Linked DNA regions of Astyanax mexicanus. The protein of the gene in region 2 purifies or fractionates together with the protein of the main gene of each other region. This does not show direct contact. Links are inferred from orthologs where the notes say so. Each region holds a gene or a part of one and is shown on either strand. Other genes may lie near its edges. The genes, in order: polr3h, polr3k and pdrg1.

Region 1 (8,209 bases), about 42 Mb from region 2:
TACATGTATATAATATATAAGTTTCATATTTGGACTGAATTTTCAATGATATTCTAATATTTTGATATGCACTAGTATATAACGATGAGTTCATTGTGTAACTGATCCAGGACAGTACAGCAGGGCCTTTATAACAACAAGGACACAAGGCTGAAATAGGCAGGTCATCTTAATAACAGTGGTGTTTTCTGTGTTGTGAGCATTCTGACCAATCACAGCTCAGGATGTGTTACTGTGGGGGTTCTGATGTTTGAAGCTGCTCATTTATTAATACAAAAGGGAATCTGGTCACAATAACACAGACCAATCAGTAAACAGGTCAAATTACAGTTTTTAATATATACACGTATAAAGAAAATCTAAAGGCATATCCCAATCACAGTATCAGAATTTTGTACACACTGTGCGGCTCTAGAAGAGAGCACAGAAACGTCAGTGTCCAGTCTGCAGCTCAAGAAGTGAGGTTCCTTCAGGTTCTTCAGTCGAAATCTTCTCAGCTGTGATTATTTATTACGCGTGCGCACTCTTACTCTCTCTCTCACACACACACACACACACACACACACACACACACATCGTTTATCAGTTACTCCACCAGGACAGAAGACCTAACCCCGGCTCACTGATGGATGCCTGCAAAACATAGAAATACAAACACTCTCATCAACTACACACTACACCATATAATTAATATATGGCAAAAGATGATACATGAAACTGTTTCAAAAACAATATGGCTAATCTTTAATTTAAAAATATTTGTTTTACCATCAATGTGTACGGAGACTCTTTCTTATTTGAGCTGTCGTCAGCGGCGGCGGGGGCTGCAGGCTGCGGTGCGGCACTACCGGTCCTGCTGTTAGCCGGAGCCTCCGGGTCAGTGGTGGGTCCGGTAGGAGACGTGTCCAGGAAGAGCTCGTCCACAACCCGGAAGCGGATCTCTTCACCCTGGTCCATGTAAAGGTCGTGAGCGCCCTCATCTGTCTCATACTCCCAGACCCAAACCTGCTCCGCCTCGTCACTATGAAAACCGGTCAAGGACCAAACCACAAGGACTGAACCCGTGCTGCCATTCACTCGCGCAGCAGAAAAACGACAGAAATACACGCCAACACAGTCCATACAGGAGAACACGAACTTGAACACACACACAGCCAATTACAACAAGCTTGTCATCATCCTCATTATTATCCCATCCTCATTATTATCAATATCATGCTTCTCATCATCCTCCTTCTCAACATCTTCATTCTGATCATCATAAATCATCCTCATTCTCAACATCTTTATCCTCAATTTCAATATATTTATCCTCATCCTCAACATAAACTTCATCCTCGACATCATACTCATCAACTTCATTATCCCCTACATCATCCTCATCATCCACATCATCCTCACCTTCAACATCATTATCCTTCTCATCTTCATCACCCTCATCTTCAACATCATCCTCCACATCTTTATCATCCTCATCCTAAACATAATCACCCTTTACATCATCATAATCATCTTCCTCAACATTATCATCCACATCAACATCATTATCCTCTACATCCTCATCATTACCATCACTAGGAGCATATGAAAATATTCATATTGTATCATGATATTTTGTTTTTCAATACTGTATTCCTTTTCAAAAACAGTATATATTATTAATGATTAATTTAAATGCAAAGATTGGTGTTAGAAGTAGTTCATTTACTGTTGTGTTTAAACCCCGCACACTAGATAGCAGTGTTGTAATCAACTTTTCTTTTACTCAGGTTTTATAAATATAACAGTGTTTTTTTAATACTATGGGAGTTTTACTAATATTTTATTAAAATAATCACATATTGCAATGTACTGAACCATATCCCCTGTATAATAATATATTTCGCCCAAATTCTTGACAATACACAGTAATTTTCATCATCATCATGATCATCATCATAATAATCATAATCATAATCAACATGACCATCAACATTATCCAGGCAGGATACAATTTAGCAGGTTGTTGTAGTGATTCTGGTGGGATTAGGATGTCATCGAAGAATCCAAGACTGACTGTGAAACACACACATGCACACATGATAATTATTTTAAATATCAACTAATAATATAACTAAATAATATTTCTAAATAAAAAAAACATAATGGAAAAATCTTAAATATATAATAGAATAAGTAAGCATACTTTATCCTATATAATCTGTATATAGGACACTGTATAAGGGTTAAACGATTCTGTGTTCTATGTATGTTTGTAAAAGTTCTGCAAGTTCTGTAAAACGCTGTGAGCAATAAATTTCTAATGTATCAACTATTACATAAAATACAAGTAAAATATGTAAAGTATATTATTTAAAGTCAGAAGCAGTAAATAACTCTACATTTCTGTTGTTATTTGATGATTCAGGCTTTAACGGGTAAAGTGTCTCTACAAAGGATGTGAATTTGTTTAAACATAAAAACTGTGTACACTGATAAGCTGACTTGTTCTTTTAGCATTTTTTGAGAGTGACAACCTTACAGGAACCAATTCACCATTTTTCTCACTTAATAAACTAAAAGCTGAGACTATATGGAATACATTTCTGAGTGTCAGAGGTGTAACAGCATGACAGAGAGATTAAGAAACAGATACAGGCCTTATTGAGAGAGAGAGAGAGAGAGAGAGAGAGAGAGAGAGGGAGTGAGAGAGATAGTAAAAGTGTAGTGGTGTGTAATTTTACCGTGCACTCCTTCCTGACTGCAGTATTTGATCTTCCCCACCAGAATCTCATCCAGGAACGGGTGAAACACCACATATCTAAAATGCACTGTTCCAAATAAACAAAGCAAAGACACTGATATTACAGAAATATTTAAGATCTACGGCAGAATCAGTTTCAAACAGAAAGAGAGTCTGAATAAAACAACACAGGCTTTCTAAAAAACTCTAAACAGCTACTGCCGTCTAACAGCTGTCTGCCCAATGTTTTATTAACCTGCATTAACCTGAAAGTGCTCTTCCCCATGCTTTGTGTAATTACACATTCTGACCAGAGAGGTCTCCAAATCCCCCAAAAATACCTTTAGTGTGGGAGGCTCCATCCCCGGGGAAAATGTAGGAATCCTCTAGTTTGGTGATGTCATACAAGCAGATACACAAGCCAACGTTATACACGACCTAAAATAAGGAGACATGATTACTACATCAAACGGACAGTTATTGAAACATCAAATCTTAATCATTAAAACAGAGTCTAGCTGCTTTAGGTCAGCATTTCTCCCTTGAGTTTATTCTACGAGCTTCATCCAGTGTGTGTCAGACTCCAGTCCTGGCAGCCCAGAGCACTGTGCAGACAGTAAACTAAGGTGGTAATGTACATTTAGATTCTAGATTACAGTCGGCATTTCATTTAATCAAGATCCAAACTTACTTAGAAATCACCACGTGAGCCTTACATATATGCTAAATCTACCGCTCAAACTTTCCTGGATGATTATTTACAATAGTGCTGCATCTAATCAGTTTTTTTTTTCTTGAATAACCTCAACACCTAATTCATTAATTATTCTAAATGTTTCACTGTAACACCGTTACAAAAGACGATGCTCACAGGGCACTAACCACAGGACACTGTTCCACAAGACGATGCTCACATGATGCCGCCCATAGAACACTTACCACAGGACACCTAAAAACAGAACACTGGTTCACAATGTTCACAGGACACTAACCACAGGACAGTTCTGTTGATGGACTTTCCTAAGTCCAGCAGTGATACTAACATGTTTAAACACTCTTACCAGTAAGGAACGGAGCATGATGAAGTATGAAACAGATACAGGACTACAGTCTGTATTTAAAGAACTACACCGTGTCCTTTATGCTAAGTGGAGCTGAAACTGGATAATGAGTTTAGAAACATTCAGGTGACCATAATGCCCTGTTGTGAACAAAGCTGTAATAGTGATGGAGGTCTTGCCTTGTTGGCCAGTTTCTTATTGAGTTCTTCAGCAATGGCATCGTTGAGCTGTCGATGGAAGTTCCAGGGAGGAATCCGCACCGTGTCCACCATCTCCACCACCACGAACATCCTGAAATGAATAATAACACACCTGATTAATAATGCAACTGATTAATAACACAGAAATAATTAATAACAAAACTGATCAATAACACAAGTGAATAAAAACAGAACTGATCAATAACTCAGCTAATTAATAACAGAGCTGATTAACGATACAGCTGATTAATAACACAGCTAATTAATAACAGATCAGATTAATTACAGAACTGATTATTAAAACAACTGATTAATAACAGCTGATTAATAACACAGCTGATAAAAACATAACTCTTTAGCACAGCTGTTTAATAACACAGCAGATTAATAATACAGCTGTTTAATAACACAGCAGATTAATAATACAGCTGATTAATAACACAGCTGATTTAAACAGGTCAGATATGCTGGAAGATGCCGGAGAAGCGCTAGATTGAGTTTTTCTTTATTATTTCTTTATTTTTATTTAAATATTGTTAAACGTGTCATAACTTTATTTACTATGGTTAATACACTTCTTAAGGGTGAGCCTGAAGTTCTAGAGCTGAAACAGGTAAATAAACAGGTCGACACGAGGCTGAATTTGAGCCTGGAATAATCCGCTCCACCTTAAATCGAGCTGCAGTGAGGAAGTCAGGCTGGACCTGAGGCAGCACGAAGCTCCAGCCTCGCTAAACAGACAAAGCTCACCTTCCTCCTCTGAGTGAACTCCTCACTGCTCTACAGCCTCAGTTCTGATACAGATTTAATCCGAATCCGGTTCATTTTACACTAAACTCCCGCTGTCCTCTCACGTGTGCTCCGGCTTTACGACAAGGCTGGACGGTTTACGGCAAAACATGTGACGTATTCAGCGTAGATATTAACCCTTTCAGACCTGCATCCATTACAATGAACACCAGGATTTTCTTTATTTTTAAATGTTTTGTTGCACATAACGTTATTTGAGAGCTGTTGCTCATCAGAATAGACCATGAACCATCCAATCAACAAGTTAATAAACCAATGAAACAGCAACTAGGTCCACTGCACTGGAAAAACAGTAGTACTAGAGCCATTGAGTAACAGCAAAGTAACAGCTAATTTTAACTAATTTAATTAATTTGATTTAGAACATTTTTTATCATGTTTTTTACTGTTCATGGATGATTTATGAAATAAAAAAGGTCATTATGAAATATAAAATATTACACACAGGTTTCCAATGCAATGGAAATAAAATATATAATAAATAAACAATAAATAAATATTTTAATTAATTTGATTTATTTGCTAAATAGACTTTATAGTAGAATATTAGACTCTTCTTTTTCTGTGCATTACTGACAGAATTCTTGCATATTTTTCCATCACTTTCAGGTCATGAAAGGGTAAAAAATATGAACAGAAAAAATATAGTGTATTATTATTATACACTCTGTTTATAAATCACCACTGATCACATACTGTATGTCTTCCATTAAAAAAAAACATTACTACACCTAAAACTTATTATTATTATTATTATTGTTATTGTTATTATTATTAATATTATCATTGTTGTTGTTGTTATACCATATCAATAGCTGAGCTGAAACCTTTAGTGGAAAAGTAACCACTGTGCTTCTATTACTGTTTTTAGACACAAGTTTAAGCCTCATTTGTCCACCTGGCATTGCAACATACTATTATACTACTTTTAGCCTCTTGTTATCAAGTTCGCAGTGGTAACTATTTGTAATATTCAGAGGGGCTATTGGATCATGTTGGCCAAACTGCTAGTCTGCCATTTGTGTCACGTGACCCCCTAATTTCTTTATTTTTAACACCAAGAAGTCTTTTCAACGTAAGCCACATTTTGTCCCATATCTCAAGAATCAGTGAAACATGACTGAATTTAAATATGCCAGCATTTATAACTTTGGGGCAGAAAGCTAAAAAAAAAAGAATAAACATAAATATTCAAAACATAAATTACACCCATAGTAATATTAGAGTGATTCTAATATAAAAGGATTAATACATTTATTGAGAAAAAATGCTGTAATTTAAAGGAGCCTCTAGCCTGAATACAAGATGAGATGCGATTGGACATGGTGGTGTACATGTTTTGTGTGGCATCCTGCAGCATATTTACCCACATACGTTGCAGTTGTTGCAGTAGATCCTGCTCTACACTTGTTGGTTGCTGAAGCTGCGTCCCAGCCGCTCCCATTAATACTGAACTGAATGCCAGTTGGAAGCCCTGCTATTAGCCATGCTATCACACCTGTCTACAGGGTGTCGTGCATGTATCTCTGAGCTGTTAGTGTCCCTCAGATCACTTCTAGCAGTGACCAACTGTCATACGCAAAGACCTGTCATACCACAAGACCTTCATACTCAAACCTGACTATCATCAGATCCCAACCTGAAGACGATATGTTTCCAGTCTGTAGCAGTCCAGGGTTCTTCTTCATGACACCACTGAAAACGAAGAGGATGGTGGGTGGCAGTTGACCTATATGGCAGGCAATTCATCAAAACCCCCCTAATTCCCTCATTCCAACGATGCATTTTTTACAGTCTGCCAACTGGGCACAATGTTTTTGAGTATGTCAGAGCCATGTCTAGCAGTCAACAATCTAATATTAATTTTCATCAATAGTAATCATTTTAAGTAGTGTCTCTGTATTGATTAGTAAGTGACTTTTGACTGGGATCTCTTTGAACACCTACATGGTTACATGTGATAAACAACCCATAAAGCCAGAACTTCACACAGGCATTACAGAGTGAGTGTATGATTACGTAATATGCTCATGCCCTCTGTACATCTGTCATGCATCATAACTCCCTTCCCCCACTTAAGCCTAAAGAACCACAGGATTTTTCTATTACATATCTATTGACAATACGTGACTTTGAGCTTTAGTTACTCTTTATTTCCAGACATTTGTGGACAACCCTTCTATTTAATAAATAGAAGGCTAAAGCTATTAGATAAAGGCTAAAGCTATTGTCACTTCATGCAATCACATCCTCAAAACAATGCTCCAAAATCTAAAATCTAGTAGAAAGTCTTTGTTGGACAGTAGAGACACTAACTCAAACAAAAGCAGGATACACTTTTTTTTTTTTAAATTCCATTCATTTCAGAAGAAACAGTAAAGTAGCAAGTGTCCCATTACTTTTTTTCCATGTAGTGTAAAAGTGTATCTGTAACTCAGAGAACAGCAAATCTAAAACAATTTAATGTTTAATACAGAGTGTGTTTACATGCATTCAAACAGTTAGATTAATGTACAATACCTGATCATGCATTACTGGTGTGATTTAACACACTTACAGTTTCACAATGGTGTGTGTGTCTGTGTACGCATTTTAATACAAATCCAGCCAAAACAAGCACATTCTCATTAGCTGATTTATTTTATTTTCATTTATTTAGGAAAGTTCAGATTCTGATAGCATTCAAATCACATCCATCTACAAAACACAAATTAATAAACATTAAAATCAGAACAGAGAGATGGAGTCCGATTCCGACAAATATTTGGTTGTAGATTAGAGATCAGATGTCAGATACATAAATAACAGGTGTGTTCACTGTTCGTGTACAGCTTTACTTCAGCAGGAAATAAAGGTTACATCACTGACGGATAGGCCAGAGTTTTTAATCACATAACAGAGCACCAGCTGATCCACGGAACAGCCAGAAACCTAAATAAATCAGATTTTTGCAAAGTGGACCCAAATCAGGTGGTTTCAATCTGATTGGATTCATACAAACGTGTCTCAGTCTGATTGCAGGAATCCGAGAAGAGTGCTGAAGGTTAGTTACTAATGCCAATCTCCATACCACAGCAATAACCGCGCAGAAGCGCTTTTAAATACCAGTGTGGATACTTATCTTAACAGATCTGAGTTGGGAAACGACTCAGATTTGCCTGTAGATTTGCCTGAATACAGCGTTCAGTTTCTGAACTTTCTACACAACCAAATAAGTGCTAAAAAGTAAAAGTGCAAGAGTTTAATTTTAATACTAGAGTAAAGAACAGTACTTAAATACAAAAGCAATATTTAATTACTCTAATACGCTCCATCCCCAACAGAGAAAACCTGTTATATATCAGCCTCGTTTACTAGACGTTAAGCCGTCAGGCAGCCACTAATCACAGAAGACTGAATAATTAATAAAAGGATCC
Region 2 (8,209 bases):
TTGGCACACTGCCCACACTGCCAAAAGTACCAAATGGTCTTATAATAATATTCTAATTTTCTGAGACACTGATTTTTGTTTTTTTATTGGCTGTAAGCCATAATCTTCAACAATAAAAGAAATAAACACTTAAAATAGATCACTCTGGATCACTAGATGAACTGGTATATCAGGTTTACCAGCTGATGTGTTTGATGCCTCCTTCGCGCTGCTGCTTCAGCTCCATGTAGCGCTGAATGGCCTTCTTCAGATCCAGCACTGTAGCAGACTGCACCACCACGATGGCTGATTGAAAATTAAACTCAATCCATTAATGATTTTTATTGTACACTTTAAATTTTACAGAATAAGACTTTATCATTCAAAGCATCCATTACAGTTTATTCCAGAAACAACACCTAAACACATAAATTAACTTACGCATGATCTCTCCATCAGCTTTACACACTCGAACAGTCATGGCCTGCCCGTACTCCAGAGCCACCTGAGAGTTCACCTCCTCCAGAGTCACCTACAGGAGAGAGAGGATACAATTAACATCAGATCATATTTATTAGATCAATTAAATATGGTTACAGAATGTTCTATTTAAATGGATTCTTTATTGTTACAGTACAGTGTGTGCCTTATTCACTAACCACAAATTTAGAACAATAGGTAGTGCTTTATGTGTCCTTTTATAACAACATTAAATACTGTAAAACATGGTGGCGGGTGCATCTGTCCATGTGACAGTGTCGCTTCACAAACCTCAGTAAATAGACCATTATATGTAACAATACAATTTGAAATCCCAGTGGCTTAATAGATAATTTTTTCCAGAATCTCACTAATGTCTCCTGGACATTTTTTCATTGCAATTCTATTCATTGACTTTAATATACACATATTGGAATCCTGACTGTTTTGCAACTTCTTGGCACTGTATTGCATTAAAGGTCTCATTCCATCGTTTTTTTTATTTTTTTATTTTAATATGTCTGTGGTCTCTAATATGAATGTAAGAGCTGTTTTTTGGGTAAATAAAAAAAAAATAAAAAAGTGCTCCACTGATCTGGTATAACGCTGCTTTAGTCCGGTGGAGGAGTGGGCGGGGAGAGGCTATAGGATTTCAGCTCTTGCTCATGAATATTCATACATGCAAACATATCGCGGCTGATTGGCTAACAGCACTGCGACACCAGGAGGCAGCAATACGGACAACATTTTAAAATAAAGAGATTTTTACACTAATAACAGTCTTTGCAATGTCAGATTTGGGAGAAATGTTGTCTGTAGTTTATAGAATAAAACAACAATGTTCATTTTACTCAAACATAAACCTATAAATAGCAAAATCAGAGAAACTGATTCAGAAACTGAAGTGATCTCTTCATTTTATCCAGAGCTGTATGTCCCCTTATACACACCTGTATAGGCAGATCACACAGTAGAGGGTCCTGCACCATCATAGCCAGCCCTTCCTCAAAGATGTCCAAAACTTCTGAATGAGGCAGCGCCTCCTCATCTTCCTCTTCCTCTTTTAAAACGTCTTCAGCACTCTTCTCCATCATTTCAGTCTCTAGCATGTTTTCTGTCTGTGGTTCTGTCTTTAGGTCTTCTTCTTCCATTGTGGTCAATACTTTAAGGGGATTGCTAATCTGATTCTGGTCACCTGTGGGCAAATACACAACAGATAATATTAGAGATTATAGATTATAATTATTTATTAAATGCTTTTATAAACGATTATACGGCACATTCTAGAATTAGGGCTACATTTTTCTGTTACCTCTACAAATACAGTACCAAAGTCTCAAAGTTCAAAATTTGAACACAGCTTCTGATTTAATGTTTTTTTAATTATTTTTTTAAAGAAAGAAAACACACAAGGAATCATGTAGTAACTTAAAAGTGTCAATCACACCAAAATACTCTGTGAACATTTAGGTGCTCTTATCTGGGGGGCTGTTAACTTGTAGTTTCTGAGACTCTCTTGCTCTTTCTTTATTGGGCGGTCCTGATGAGTGCCAGTTTCATCATTACGTTTTTTGTGATTAATGTGGTTACGTTTTTTCTTTATAAATCATTGGTTGTTCAGATCAGCATTTCTTTCTAATTTAGTTTAAATAATTATTGAGCACACTTTCTGTAAATCCTATAAACTTTATTTCACTTTTCAAATATCACTTTGTTTGTCTGCTATATGAAATATTTAACTGAAATTGCTGATCCGAACAACCAATGATTTATAAAGGAAATTCATGAAAATTATTAGGGGTGCCCAGGGCAACATTATGTCTTGCAACTTAACAAGTTAAGAAAAAAAAAAGAAATAAATAAAAATATTATATATATATATATATATATATATATATATATATATATATATATATATATATATATATATATATATATTTAGTCATAAAAGGAAAACAAAATAGTCACAATAATAATAAACACACTGAAATGATAATACAATAGTCAACAGCAAGCGTTTTGTTGCCTGAAAGCAATACCATGCCATAAAAAGGGGTTAAAACCTGCTTTTTGCATTTTTTTTAGTTCACATGTGTCTGATATTAAAGTTTGTACAAATTAAATATGCAAAAAAAAGCAAAAACGAAAGAAAAGCAAAAGTAGGTGGGTAAATAGTTTTTTCTCTGCACTGTATTCACACTGCATCATAACTGCAGCGTTAAAACACCTTCAGCAACTGATTTAAAATATTTTAATACACAGCAATTTTGGGATTACTGACCAAAATGTTTGTAAATGAGGAGAAAAGCAGATAAATGAGCTAAATTAACCACGTTAGAGAGGAAATATGAGTGTTTATTTTTACTCAGGCCTCACTGGGTGTCTATAATAGATTTATATTTCTTTATTATCCTTAATAAATCGCTTTATAAGTGAATTAAATCAGAATAAACTGCAGCACAAACAAACACAGCACTTACCGTGTCCCCGCGTTACAGCGCCGGCCGGCAACACGCAGCTATAATATCTGAACCTGGGTCCAAAAGAACAGAGAAACTGGATCATACAACAGATTAACAACACGTTTAAACAAGATAATGTATTAATACGTGTTAAAACTGTATTAAATACTGATAAACTGCTATAACTGGTATGATTTTACAGTAGTTTAATCTGTGCTGTTTTTCAGACTGTGTGTTAGTCTGTGTTGTTTCCAGTCGGACTCGTTACTGAGGAGCACTGCTGTAGTTAGCACAGATAGCAGGAGGAGCTAACCGTGAGAAATATCCAGCAATTCTGCTGGAATTAGAGCATTAAACTAATTTATAGAGTTATATAGAGTTAGTATAGAGTTATATAGAGATGCTGCTGTTCTGTCCGGCCTGTGGGAATGTGTTAATAGTAGAGGAAGGGCAGAAATGTTACCGGTTCGCCTGCAATACCTGCCCTTACATTCACAACATCACCAGGAAGGTAAATCTATATATTACTAATATTATTAATATTCAGCTCTATATTAGTAATAAAACCTGTTTAATAAGGATATTCTCTATTGTTAGATCCTGTTCATTTCTCTAATCACTGAATTTAACCTATTTAATCCTGAATTTACCCCAAACACGTGTTGATTTAGCAACCTGCAGTTAAGTTACTGTTTTGATAAATAGTATATAGTATATTATATAATAGTATAGTAAAGTATATAGTGTAGTATAGTGTATAGTATATAATAGTATGTTATGTAGTGTATTGTATAGTAAATAGTACTATAGTATTGTATATAGTAGTATAGTATATACGAGTATATTGTAATATAGTATATAATAGTATAGTATATAGTAGTATAGTATATAATATAGTATATATAGCAATATAGTATATAATAATACAGTATATAGTAGTATAGTGTATATAGTAGTGTAGTATATAAAAGTATATTGTAATATAGTATGTAATAGTATAGTATATAGTAGTATAGTATATAATATAGTAAAGTGTATATGTAGCAGTATAATGTATAATAATAACACAGTATTTATTAGTATAGTGTATATAGTAGTGTTGTATATAAGAGTATATTGTAATATAGTATGTAATAGTACAGTATATAGTAGTATAGTATATAATATAGTAAAGTATATATAGCAGTAAAATATATAATAATACAGTATATAGTAGTATAGTGTATATAGTAGTGTAGTATATGAGTATATTGTAATATAGTGTATAGTATATAGTATAGTAAATTATATATAGCAGTATAGTACATAGAAGTTTAGTATATAATAATACAATATTTAGTATAGTGTGTATAGTAGAATAGTATATAATAATACAGTATATAGTACAGTATATAGTAGTATAGTGTATAGAAGTACAGTATTTAGTAAGTGGAAAAAAACAAGTAAGGTAATTTGTGTTTAGTTGGTTATATAATATTCTTTGTCATGCAGCTGAAATTGATTAGCTGAAAATATAATATACAATAGATTTGTAACTGTATCTCAAACTTATTATCTTTTTTATTATTTTACCCCATTCAAATTTGCACTGCTAAATTATTACATACCTGTGTACCTGCACTGTCTGTATGGCTGACATCTGTCCTCTTCTCAATATGCACAGCAAGTGTCCCTTAAATGTTTAATCAACGTTCATTTTTCCATCACTAAAAGGTTGACCTCCGTCATCAGAACTGATTTGTTTGTGCACATTGATTTTATGTTGATTCAACATTGATTAAACTTTATGGTTTTATATGCATGCTTTGTATTAAAGTTCACATTTGCATTTAAATGTGTATATATCGTTTGTGTTATATTCTTTTTTTATTGATTACCATATTGATGTGGATGTTTGTATTTTATTTGTTGCTTTCAGGTGAATAACAGAAAATACCCCAAACTGAAGGAGGTGGACGATGTTCTCGGGGGAGCTGCTGCCTGGGAGAACGTGGATTCCACAGCAGGTAAATATTGATGATCAATAAATGATTAAATAAAGAATTAACATATGGAAGATATGGCCTGGATGTTTATGATGATGTCTAATTTGGGTGAGTTAAGCGCTTCTGTTTATTTACAGTAAGCTTAGATTTCCAGATCTCCACAAAGGCTGGGTGCAGCAGCATTAGCATTAGCAGCTAGCACTAGTAAATGCTGCCCGACAGCACTACACTGAGGAACCCTGAGTGTTCCGGTAGGCCCGTTTTAACACGGCAAACACGCTGACTACAGACTGATATACTCTGCTTTGAACTACAAAAGAGCTAGCGCTTAGCTTGGTTAGCAGCTAGTGCTAATACTGCTGGAGAACTAAACTGAAACTCCTGTATAACTCTGTACTTCAGCGGAGAGGCTTTACTGCTCCTTAATACCTGACTGATAGAATTCATACATAAGGAGCACTTTTAAGTGTTAAGGATTTTAAGCCTTACAGTGTGAACAGTATCAGTAACAGTATATTTGATTTTAAATATTATGTGTATTTTACTAGAATTTCTAATGATTTCTCTGTGATTCTGATCCAGTTTGCTCATGTTTATGATGAATATTCATATATATTTATTTATCAGAATGTTTAAATCGCTTCCGTTTATTTACAGTAAGCTTAGATTTCCAGATTTCCACTAAAGCTTGGTGCAGCAGCATTAGCATTTGTGGCTAACCACTAGCGCTAGCAAATGCCTCCTGACAGGGCTACACTGAGGAACCCTGATTGCTCACGTTTATGATGAATATTCATACCTATTTATTTATTAGAATATTTAAAGCGTTTCTGTTTATTTACAGTAAGCTTAGATTTCCAGATTTCCACTAAGGCTGGGTGCAGCAGCATTAGCATTAGCATTTGTGGCTAACCACTAGTGCTAGCAAATGCCTCCTGAAAGGGCTACACTGAGGAACCCTGATTGCTGACATTTATGATAAATATTAATACATAATTATTTATAAAAATATTTAGATTGAGGGCAGGAACAGTAATAAAGTAAGTTGCAGTAAATAAACTTTATCATATAACTTTTTCCTGTCTTTTAATCTTCAGAAACCTGTCCGAAGTGTGAGCACCCGAGAGCGTACTTCATGCAGATTCAGACCAGATCTGCTGATGAACCCATGACCACCTTCTACAAGTGCTGCAGTCCACAGTGTGGCCATCGCTGGAGAGACTGAGCCGGCTGTGGATCTGTATGGACTGACTATTTATGGATCCTGTATCTTTAAAAAATCTGATTTACAGAGGCTAAACTCTGAGATGGAGACTTCTCTGGATTTATTTATTTTTCCACCAAGTGAAAAGATGGTTTGAAGGCCTTTTGAAGACCCAAAAAACGCTTTAAAAGAGGTTGATGTGATTGTTTTCCGTTACTTCACAGCAATTTATTATTTTTAATTCAATAAAGAGTCAATTAAAGACATACAGTTTATTCACCTGTGATCATTCTTTAACAAGAAAGATTTTTATATTAATTACTCTGTAGGTAGAAGTATAGATACTAGGGTTTAAAATACTTCTGTAGAAGTTGAAAAAGTAAAACTCAAGCTTTTTACTCTTTAAGTAAAAGTGTTTAAAAAAGTACTGGTTTCAAAACTACTTAAAGTATAAAAGTAAAAGTAATGGAAGGAGAAAAAAATTAACACACCATTAAGAACAAAAGCTTAGGCCACGCCCACAGAGTCCTATAGTGCACTAACCCCCCTCCCCTCCCTAAAACACATTTTTCTAAAAGCTATAATAACTAGAGACCGACCGATATGGGTTTTTCTAAGGCCGATGCCGATACCGATCATTAGTGGTCAGAGTCAGCCGATGGCCGATGTGACCTGCCGATTTTTAGGGCCGATATGCTATCGTATTATACTAATTTGGCATGCTTAAAATCATACTAGTAAGAGGAGGCACAACAGTTGTAAACTTCACACAATTTATTGAAAATAAGGTTAGCATTTTATAGTGACTTTAATGTTACTATATCACTATATGTTAATAAAAAAAATATTAATTTTATTTAGATTGTATTATCCATAACATTTTATTTTATTCATTATATAACATATGTTCTATATACACTATATATTCATGTTTATAGTAGAAATATTATGTTGGCTATTATATAAAATTTACTGTAGGGGCCTACTAATTAACAAATGTATGACTTGTTGCAGTCTGTTAGTCTATTAATTATTCATTTTAATATGTTTAACAGAGTGCAAGAAGACTTCCATAATGTGACAACTTTAGATAGTTACTCCAAAACGGCAAAGCTCATTTCTTCTTCAACTCCATGCAGTTTAAAACGAATGGACATGGGAGGACAATTTTATAAAATGTTCACATTAGGGCTGCAGCTATTATTTTACAAAAATGGGTGACGTTTAAATTAAGAATAAAAGTATAAATAATGCAAAAACAGACAGGTGCTGTAATTTAAATATAGCTTTATCTGTTTTTTTTTCTTCTTCAAATGAGCTCCTTAGCCAGAGAAACGCGTCTCATCAGCTGTACTGGTGGTTCGGTGCGTGAGCGGAAAATGAGTTGAGAAAGCTGAAGAGCGCGGACTTTATAGGTTCAGGATAAAATGAGCTTTTATCAGAAAAGTCTGGAGGGGGTTCTAAAGTAGAACCCGACAAAACAGAAAATTCTGCTCATCGTTTCATTTAATATCTAACAGCGCAAACCGCTTTAAACGGGTGAGTTTTACAGCAGAACAGCAGGAGGCGGCATGATTTAAGGTCTGTTTGTAGCGAAGGAAAAAGAGATGTTTTATTTTAACTCCATAATTTTAGAAACTATTTGTTTTATTAATTCGTTTACAATAAAGCTTATAAGGAGAAGTACAGTCCTCTAATAATCCTGACTAACCAGTAATTATTATTTCAGCGCAGCTGATGCTGCGAATATCCTTAAACAGTTTTAGTCCTGCCCTTTTTCATTTCGTCTAAAAATAATTTAAATACTGAAAAAAGTACTGAAAAAGTGTTAATTTGATTTTATTTACTTAGATTTTCGTTTCTGAAGAAGAGACGTCAGTTATTTTATACTAGAGCTTATAGATAGGGCTTGCCTTGCATAGTCAGGGCACATTCCAAATGCACTCCTGCCATCAACGCTAAGCATAGTTTCGTTTGGAGAGAAATGCTACAACACCGATGCAGTTGAAATTCTATTCTTTTTCAGTAAATGAAGCAACATCACAGATTACTAATCATGAGAGAAAATATAGACTTTGGGACACTGGATTGTAAAAATG
Region 3 (8,209 bases), on a different chromosome or scaffold from region 2:
ACTTTCGCTTTTAGACGTTTCCTGAGGTCAGTTATCTCTTGGTCAAGCTGTTCCTGATCTGAAGAGGAGTAAATAAAGTGTAAATAAAGCTGTTCATGTAACAGGGCATGGCTTCAACATACAAAACACTGAACTTGCCTTTCTGCATCATGGCTTGAGCATTCTCCTTGGGGAATTTTATGAACATGTTTCCAAAGCAGACTTTTACTTTATCTGTGGACAAATAGAAATGAAAGCATGGACAGATATGAAAAGATGGCACAAGAAAAAATAAAGATTTTACATGACTCTATATTCACTATATGGCAAATTGACTGTAGTGTACAGGTGGGCAATATGGCCATAAAACCTTTCACAATAACGAAAGACACACACCAATATTACTAGGGATGCACTGATATGAGAATACTGGGACAATGCCTAGATCTGATATTACACATGCAAATTCAGATATACACATTTATAACTTACAGAGAGACTGCACAACCCGGTTAAAATGAAAAAAAAAAAAAAAAAATGTAATATTTATTTGCCTTACATTTTAGCTTTCAACCAATTGTATTCAAACAATAAAATGAAAGGTTTTTGCTGAGAAGTTAGTTTTCACATTGTTTTATCAGTGTCGCCCAATTGTAGTAAAGCAGGCAGCTTTGCTCTGCCCTTAACCAGCATGCAATAAATACAGCAGCAAATTTTAAGTTGAAATATCTGACAAATCTAGACCATTTTTGAATATTCAAAAACTTTGATGTCATTGTGCATCTCTAAAAATTATGTGTACAGACTCTACATTAAGCATTACAGTTTATGTTAAGTTTTACAAAACTTGAATTACTATATTAAAATAAATTAATTTAGGTTTTACATTTGGTCAAAGTCTGCAGATACCCCATCATTAACACTGACTGAGACACCTGTTCATCAAGTTGCATCCACAAGTCTACAAACCTTTGAACATACAGTATAATGCATTATCCCATTTGAACATGTATTTATATACAATAATTATTAACGTACCACTGTCAGCACTATTTCGGAGAGCATTCATCGCTTCTCGATTTCTGTTCCTTCTTGCGTCAAGGTCTACAATCTGCATTGAGATAATGTTAGGTTAAATGTAACTCACTTCTTTTCAGATTTCTTTTCATACTTGTATTAACTACACGTTTAAAAAAAAAAAAAACACTAAACCACAACTTATAATACCAAATGTGGGAATGATTTATGTTGCTGCAACTGACTTTGTCTGAAATAAAGAGTTTTCCCTTGAACAGGGTTTTATTAGGTACAGCTGCTAGAGTTCCAGTGATTTGAGGACATTTTCTTTTACATAAGAGGAAACAATAATAAAGAACAATACCATAATAGTTTGCCTTAATTATTACTTTAAGTAACAGTGGGATATTCTTGATTGATGATCAACTGTTGGGGATATTTGCTCCCTTCACAGAAACACAGTGAGCTTGAGGAAATTCTTTAAAAAGAAGCAGAAAGTATGTGAACATTTCTTTACAGGACAAGACAGTTTTTTTTTCCAGTGGAAATGTTAGTGCAGTTAGCTGGCTAGCCAATATTATGAGATCTATCAGCTATCTTAATGTTGGCTATCATTTCATCCAAATTCAATTAAGACATAAAATGTATTTTTTATTTTAGGCAGTACTGTACTGTAATGCCAAGAATGAGGCCAAGTTCACTCTGACAATATTGACTGACTTTGTTGTTTTCTGAAATTGCAGTGATCCAGAATACATAAAAGTTGTCAGCAGAGGGAAGCATGAAGTGCTGTAAGATTTTGTGGGAAAACACTGCACTGACTTTAGACTTGATAATAAAACACAGTGGATCAACACCAGCAGATGACATGTCTCTCCAAGCCATCACTGATTGGTGGAAACTTCACACTAGACCTCGAGCAGTTTGGACTGTGTGTCTTTCCACTCTTCCTCCAGACTCTGGTCTCTTAATTTACAAATAAAATGTAAAATGTACTGATGATCAGTGATGGTTTGGAGAGACATGTCATCTGCTGGTGTTGATCCACTGTGTTTTTTGTTGCGACGCATCAGAGCGAGAGTCTATAAAAGGGGGACAGAGTCCACTGCAAATCACTTATCGTTTATCAGGACTATACTAATGAGCGATAGTGAAGGAGAGCAGGGACCAAGCTTATTTTCTGTATATTTAGGAGAGGAAGATCAGCTCTTTTCTACAACTTTGTGGTAAAGGCATTTCCGGTCCCATGGTGTAATGGTTAATCACTCTGGACTTTGACTCCAGCGATCCGAGTTCGAATCTCGGTGGGACCTAATTATACTTTTTAGGCCACACATTAGGAAGACTTATGTGCACAGTAACTATAAGCTATTATTAATTTAATTAATAATAGCTTATAGTTACTGTGCACATTTGTAGTTTTACTTTATTTTAAAGTAGGCTCTAGGCTCTGTTTTTTTTGCTGTGGTTCAGAGGTGATGTGCTTAGTTTTAGCAGCTTTTATATTGTAATAATCAATTGTATACACAGCTGTTAAACAGGAGATTACAGCTCATTCAGAGCAGAGCTGAGCCTGTTGTAGTTCAGCTAACTATCCCTGTAGCCTAGCTAAGCTAACCTACACATATAGGTGCATTTCGTAAAATTAGAATATCATTGAAAAATTACTTTGAGTAATTCAGTTCAACATATAAAACTCATGTATTATATATACAGTATATGTATGTATATATATATATTACACACAGAGTGATCTATTTTAAAAGTTTAGTTCTTTTATTGTTGACGTTATGATTATAGACTATAATCATAACGTCAACAATAAAAGAACTAAACTTTTAAAATAGATCACTCTGTGTGTAATATATATATATATATATACATACATATACTGTATATATAATACATGAGTTTTATATGTTGAACTGAATTACTCAAATAAAGTAATTTTTCAATGATATTCTAATTTTACGAAATGCACCTATATGTGTTGGTTAGCTTAGCTAGGCTACAGGGATAGTTAGCTGAACTACAACAGGCTCAGCTCCGCTCTGAATGAGCTGTAATCTGATGTTTAACAGCTGTTATTAATCTAGTTACCTGCTGTTTATCAGCGAGCACGTCTTCAGCTGCCACTTCTACCTCCATCAGATACTCCATCACCCTGCTGGAGTCCATCTCCCTCCTACAGCAGCAGCAGCACAGCTCCTCACACAGCGAGTAATTATACAAAATAAGTCCCCCAGTCTGGGGAAACAAGGACCGCGCGATAATCAGTTCCGCCCAGTTTCAAAATTAAAAATCAGTAACTACTGACACACAATCATGCCTAAAATACTTTTTACACCCTGAATTACCTTTTCATATTAATAGTTGAACTTTAATGCACACAGACACACAGAGATTGGTACTATCAGAGCCGGTTTATGAAAAGCCTGCCCACTCCCTATCGGTCCCATTATATCAAATTATAATTATAATTAATTATAATTATATAATTATAATTATAATTATATTTATAAATTATAAATTATAACATTATAACTGCACACTAGAGAGAGCCCGCGAGCGAGACCTAAATGAATAGGAGTGAATGGAGCTAAACGGCTAAATACACTAATTAAAAACTTTAGTAACTAAGATTTTTATATCTACTAAGCAAGGATCATCCTTTAATTTTGAAACAAAAATAATGAATTCCCATACGGAGGAAGAAATACAGAAATAAATAAGTGAATAAATAAATGAGAAAACGATTTATAAATATATGTAACAGACGTTAAAAATACACATATAGAAATATATTAAAAACAATAATACAGAAATTATTTGAAAGAGGAAAATATACATTCTCATCACAGTTTACATGGTTAGTTACCTTTCTTTTAGAAAAATCTCCGTATATCCAGATTAGTTTTAACGACAGCTGCTCCGACTAGCTGCCTGAACTCACAGCGAGGGGAGGGGCGGGGCTTCCCCCACACTAAACAGCTCTCCGCAAAACCAGCAAGCTGATTGGCTGTTTCTCCTGAAAGGCGGGACTTTCTCCTTGAACCGGCACCACGATTGGTTAAGAGACACACAGCGGTCAGTGCATTGTCGCCTGTGGCCTATATATTTTTTTATTTAGTATAATACGGGAAATTTACGGGAAAATACTAATACGGGAGGAGAGGAGTAAAATACGGTAGTTTCCCGGCCAAAACGGGAGACTTGACAGGTATGACTTATACATTTCCATTTTTCTACAGAAAACAGTTTTTTATTTATTTACTGATATTTTACCACAACAGGGTAAATTAATATAAGAAATAATACAATTATCAAAATTACTATGATTATTTGTTAAACTTAAACGGCGCCCGCTTTGACCGGTGTTGGTCGGTCCGAGCTAATGTTGGCAAGGCCATGAACTCACAAGTTGACGTAGACAGCTTTTCCTGATCGACTCATTTTTCTGAGGATTTTCTTTTACTAGCTACTGCGGACAATGGAGGCTGAGAAACAGTTTTATATGAGACATACAACTCAGAGAGCAATAGGAAAAAGTGGATTTTAGCGGAAGGAGACCTTTATTTCTAGATTAAAAACATTGTATTCTAATGTTTCTCTCTCTGGATGACAGGCTTTTAATCATTATAGTTTTTGTGTCCTTTTTCCTAACATTTTTATAATTGTAACAAGTAACGATGCAGCACATAGAAAATGTATAACAGTAAAAATATAAAACTCATACAAAATATGTATTGAAGTAAAAGTGGAAGTAGGAGAAAAAAATAATACTCTACAGGTACAGCATTTTAATACTTAAGTACAGTAGTGGAGTAAAAAGAATACTCCAGTAGATACAGATCCAGTATTTTAGTAGAGAAGTAAAAATAATACTTCATTAGATACGGCATTTTAGTATCTAAGTACAGTAGTGAAGTACTTCTCTGGTTTTAAGGTACACAAAAATTCAAAGTGTCACTCGGGCCTCCAAATTCCCCAGCTCTCAAAGCAATCCACTGTGGGATGTGCTGAAACAAAACGTTTGATCCGCAGAGGCTCCACCTTGCAACTTACAGGACTTAAAGGCTCTGCTGCTACCGTCTTGGTGCCAAATACCTCAGACAACTTTCAGAGGTCTTGTAGAGTCCAGAGCTGGTTAGAGTTGTTTTTCAGTGATATGTGGAAGACCTACAGAAGTTCACTGGTGTATTCTTTAAATCCACAGAACAAATATCAAACCTTCCAAATATTAGTCACACTATCAGGCCTCACGTCGAGTAATAACACAATATAAAACATTTTTTCTTCCCGAGTTCTGTTATATTTCAACTGCTTACATATAAACTCAATAAAAAACACCAACATTCCTCATGAACTTTGATTTTATGACAGTAGCCTATGCTAGTTTTATATTTATTGGGATAAAATACAAGAATTGGACTTGTGCTTTATCATAGAAACAATCAACATTTCACTACAAAAATACACAATTATTATAAAACTTGATCAATGCTGCGTATAATAGCTCAAAAATGAATATATGTTCTATATGCAGACTGTACTGCAGATCACTTTCTCGGCCCGTTCTTTCTGTAATAATGTGCACTACTATGCAATGCAACAGTATGCCTTGCAAGATAACAATAAACATTCAGAAGTGTGTTGTCTTCACAGATTTATGACTAAACTGCAAATTACTTTCACGTATTAGTCCATAAACTACCCTCCATCATGTTCTCCTTATACTGTCCTTAGTAACGGCATTCAGAGAAAAAGAAAATGTCCATAAAACACTGCAACTACAGATTAAACAGTTGGTAATGTAGTGCTAATTGTAATTTTTTTTACAAGGAAAATACTTAAATTTTTGTGTTTCTTTGGTCGCTTGTGTTGCCATCTTCCTAATGCTTCCTTAAATGTGCCTCTAAAAATTTCATAACTAAATAAATAAGTGGTAGGGCCAAGGGGCGATATAGGACAGGGCCAAAGGCTATATTTCGTGAATATTCTTAATAATAAATACATTTAAAATCTCATTGTGCTGACCACAAAAGCAAGTTTATGGGGAATAATACCTTATTTCTATTCACTTGAGGCACAAACAACAACAACAAACATCTGGGAAGAAAACATATATGCAAAATTGTTACGTAGTGTAATTCACACTGCCTTGCCATGAGCACAATGTCTAGTGTTCAACATCACTCACAAAATAAAACTTTTACAGGTTTGGGAGTTCCCAAGCCATCCCCTGAGGTAACGCTACATGATTAACTTTATGAACATAGTGCTATCCCATGTCTTTTGGCAATTTGTTGTATTTGTATTTTTTTGTTAATTGTACAACAAAGCACAACGTTTTTGAAAAATACACAAAACACCTCAAACAAGCATTTTTTTTACTTAACAAGAAGTCATAGTCAAGAATAACAAACAGCAATAGAAAATGACACACATTTACATTCCTCAGTGTGCTGAAATACAGTGTGCTGTGATGAAGACTAATTTTGTGAGGTACTGTTATCATCTGCTGTAAAACTGGAATGCTTCAGTCCCAATTTCTGATCGTGGCAGTCTTGGGTCAGTCATGTAACAGAGGAAGTTGAATTATTAATATTGCCAAAAATAATCTGTTTCCAAGCTGCACTTCAACTTATTATATCTCCTAGAAAAATACACATTCATCTTAAACATAAGTGAATTACACTAAAACATCAGTATCATTAAATAATAACTGTAACATTAACATAACTAGCAATGATAAAGGAAGAGAAACATGCTCTGGCTGTTTGTTCACAAAACAAAATAACCAAAAAAATACAAGCAACATACAGCAGTGCTTGAAAGTTTGTGAATCCTTTAGAATTTACTATATTTTAAAATAAATATGAGCCAAAACATCACAAGATTTTTACATAAGTCCAATAAGAAGATAAACCGACCCCAGTTAAACAAAGGAGAAAAAAAATCCATGGTCATTTATTTATTTAAAATATATACATATATATACATATTTGTGAGTGGTAAAAGTATGTGAACCTCTAGGATTAGCAGTTAGTTTGAAGGTGAAATTCAAATTAGAATCAGGGTTTTTCAATCAATGGGACGACAATCAGGTGTGAGTGGGCAGAGCCTGTTTTATTCAAAGAACAGGGATCTATCAAAGTCTGCTCTTCACAACACATGTTTTTGGAAGTATATCATGGCATGAATAAAGGAGATTTCTGAGCACCTCAAAAGATAAGTTGTTCATGTCCATCAGGCTGGAAAAGGTGGAGTTTGGACCCTCCTCAGGAGAACACTGAACAACAATAGAGTGCATGTCAGTGTTTCGAGGAGAAAGCCACTGTTCCCCAAAAAGAACATTGCTGCTTATCTGTAGTTTGCTAAAGATCACATGGACAAGCCAAAAGACTATTGGAGCAATATTTTGTGGACGGTTGAAACCAAAAATAGATCTTTTTGGTTTAAATGAAAATCTGTGAAACATGGTGGTGGTAGTAACATGGTTTTAGACAGCTGGCCTTCATTGATGGAACAATGAATTCTGAATTATATTAGAAAATTCTTAAGGGAGATGTCAGGACATCTGTCTATGACCTGAATCTTAGGGTGTACTCACACTAGGCAATCCGAACCGTGCCCGGGCACGGTTACCTCCCAAAGCACGGTTCGTTTGGCTAGTGTGATCGCTCCGAACCGTGCCCGGGCCCGCTTGAAGAGGTGGGCCCGAGCACGGTTCACTTGGACCCGGATCAAGATGACGTCAGTGATGCGATGCTACTGTAAACGGAGGACGTTTTATACACAATTCTGCATATAATATTTTTGAAAAGGGTTCTAAAGAGCACCATAATGGTTAGTGTTACCCATAATAAATTAGGACTACTATCTACAAGTCCTAAACAACAAACACATTTTATTATTACTTGAGTTTTATGTTTCGCTCCTTTGGTCACTATTTATGTATATAGCAAGTACGTCTCTTACCTTACTGATAAACGTGAATTGTAGTCCGCGAGTAAAGCTGCAAATTTCTCCCTGGACGTCTGCTGCTTGTGTAAAAACCTTCTTACACGTGCAGCACAATTAGCAGTAAATCGCTGTGTTGCACAATCAATGAATCTCTGGTTCAGTTGCGTATTTGCACGCCCAAAACGACTCCAGAGAAACAAAAACAACAGTACAATCCTGAACTCCATTGTTTTGCGCGCGCATACTG

Evidence for each region.
Region 1: the proteins of polr3k (region 2) and polr3h purify together in Homo sapiens (affinity purification with mass spectrometry; 3 studies listed by BioGRID and IntAct, with this or other methods). This does not show direct contact. The link is inferred for Astyanax mexicanus from reciprocal best matches to the Homo sapiens genes POLR3K and POLR3H.
Region 3: the proteins of polr3k (region 2) and pdrg1 purify together in Homo sapiens (affinity purification with mass spectrometry; 3 studies listed by BioGRID and IntAct, with this or other methods). This does not show direct contact. The link is inferred for Astyanax mexicanus from reciprocal best matches to the Homo sapiens genes POLR3K and PDRG1.

Annotation. Positions count from the first base shown.
Region 1 is NC_064410.1:18,951,745-18,959,953, reverse strand, and holds polr3h (DNA-directed RNA polymerase III subunit RPC8), read right to left. Parts: upstream 4,892-8,209; 5' UTR 4,734-4,891; intron 4,075-4,733; 5' UTR 4,074-4,074; coding exon 3,963-4,073; intron 3,161-3,962; coding exon 3,064-3,160; intron 2,811-3,063; coding exon 2,724-2,810; intron 2,056-2,723; coding exon 1,992-2,055; intron 1,022-1,991; coding exon 769-1,021; intron 634-768; coding exon 583-633; 3' UTR 320-582; downstream 1-319.
Region 2 is NC_064410.1:60,607,887-60,616,095, forward strand, and holds polr3k (DNA-directed RNA polymerase III subunit RPC10), read left to right. Parts: upstream 1-3,170; 5' UTR 3,171-3,321; coding exon 3,322-3,432; intron 3,433-4,839; coding exon 4,840-4,927; intron 4,928-6,003; coding exon 6,004-6,131; 3' UTR 6,132-6,376; downstream 6,377-8,209. Other genes in the region: snrnp25 (U11/U12 small nuclear ribonucleoprotein 25 kDa protein), read right to left, coding at 180-285, 421-511, 1,410-1,654, 2,940-3,024. UniProt on the Homo sapiens protein: Core component of RNA polymerase III (Pol III) which synthesizes small non-coding RNAs using the four ribonucleoside triphosphates as substrates. Can mediate Pol I proofreading of the nascent RNA transcript.
Region 3 is NC_064431.1:7,231,927-7,240,135, forward strand, and holds the start of pdrg1 (p53 and DNA damage-regulated protein 1), read right to left. Parts: upstream 4,111-8,209; 5' UTR 3,875-4,110; intron 3,244-3,874; 5' UTR 3,175-3,243; coding exon 3,097-3,174; intron 2,310-3,096; exon of another isoform or gene 2,237-2,309; intron 1,091-2,236; coding exon 1,018-1,090; intron 214-1,017; coding exon 139-213; intron 59-138; coding exon 1-58. UniProt on the Homo sapiens protein: May play a role in chaperone-mediated protein folding.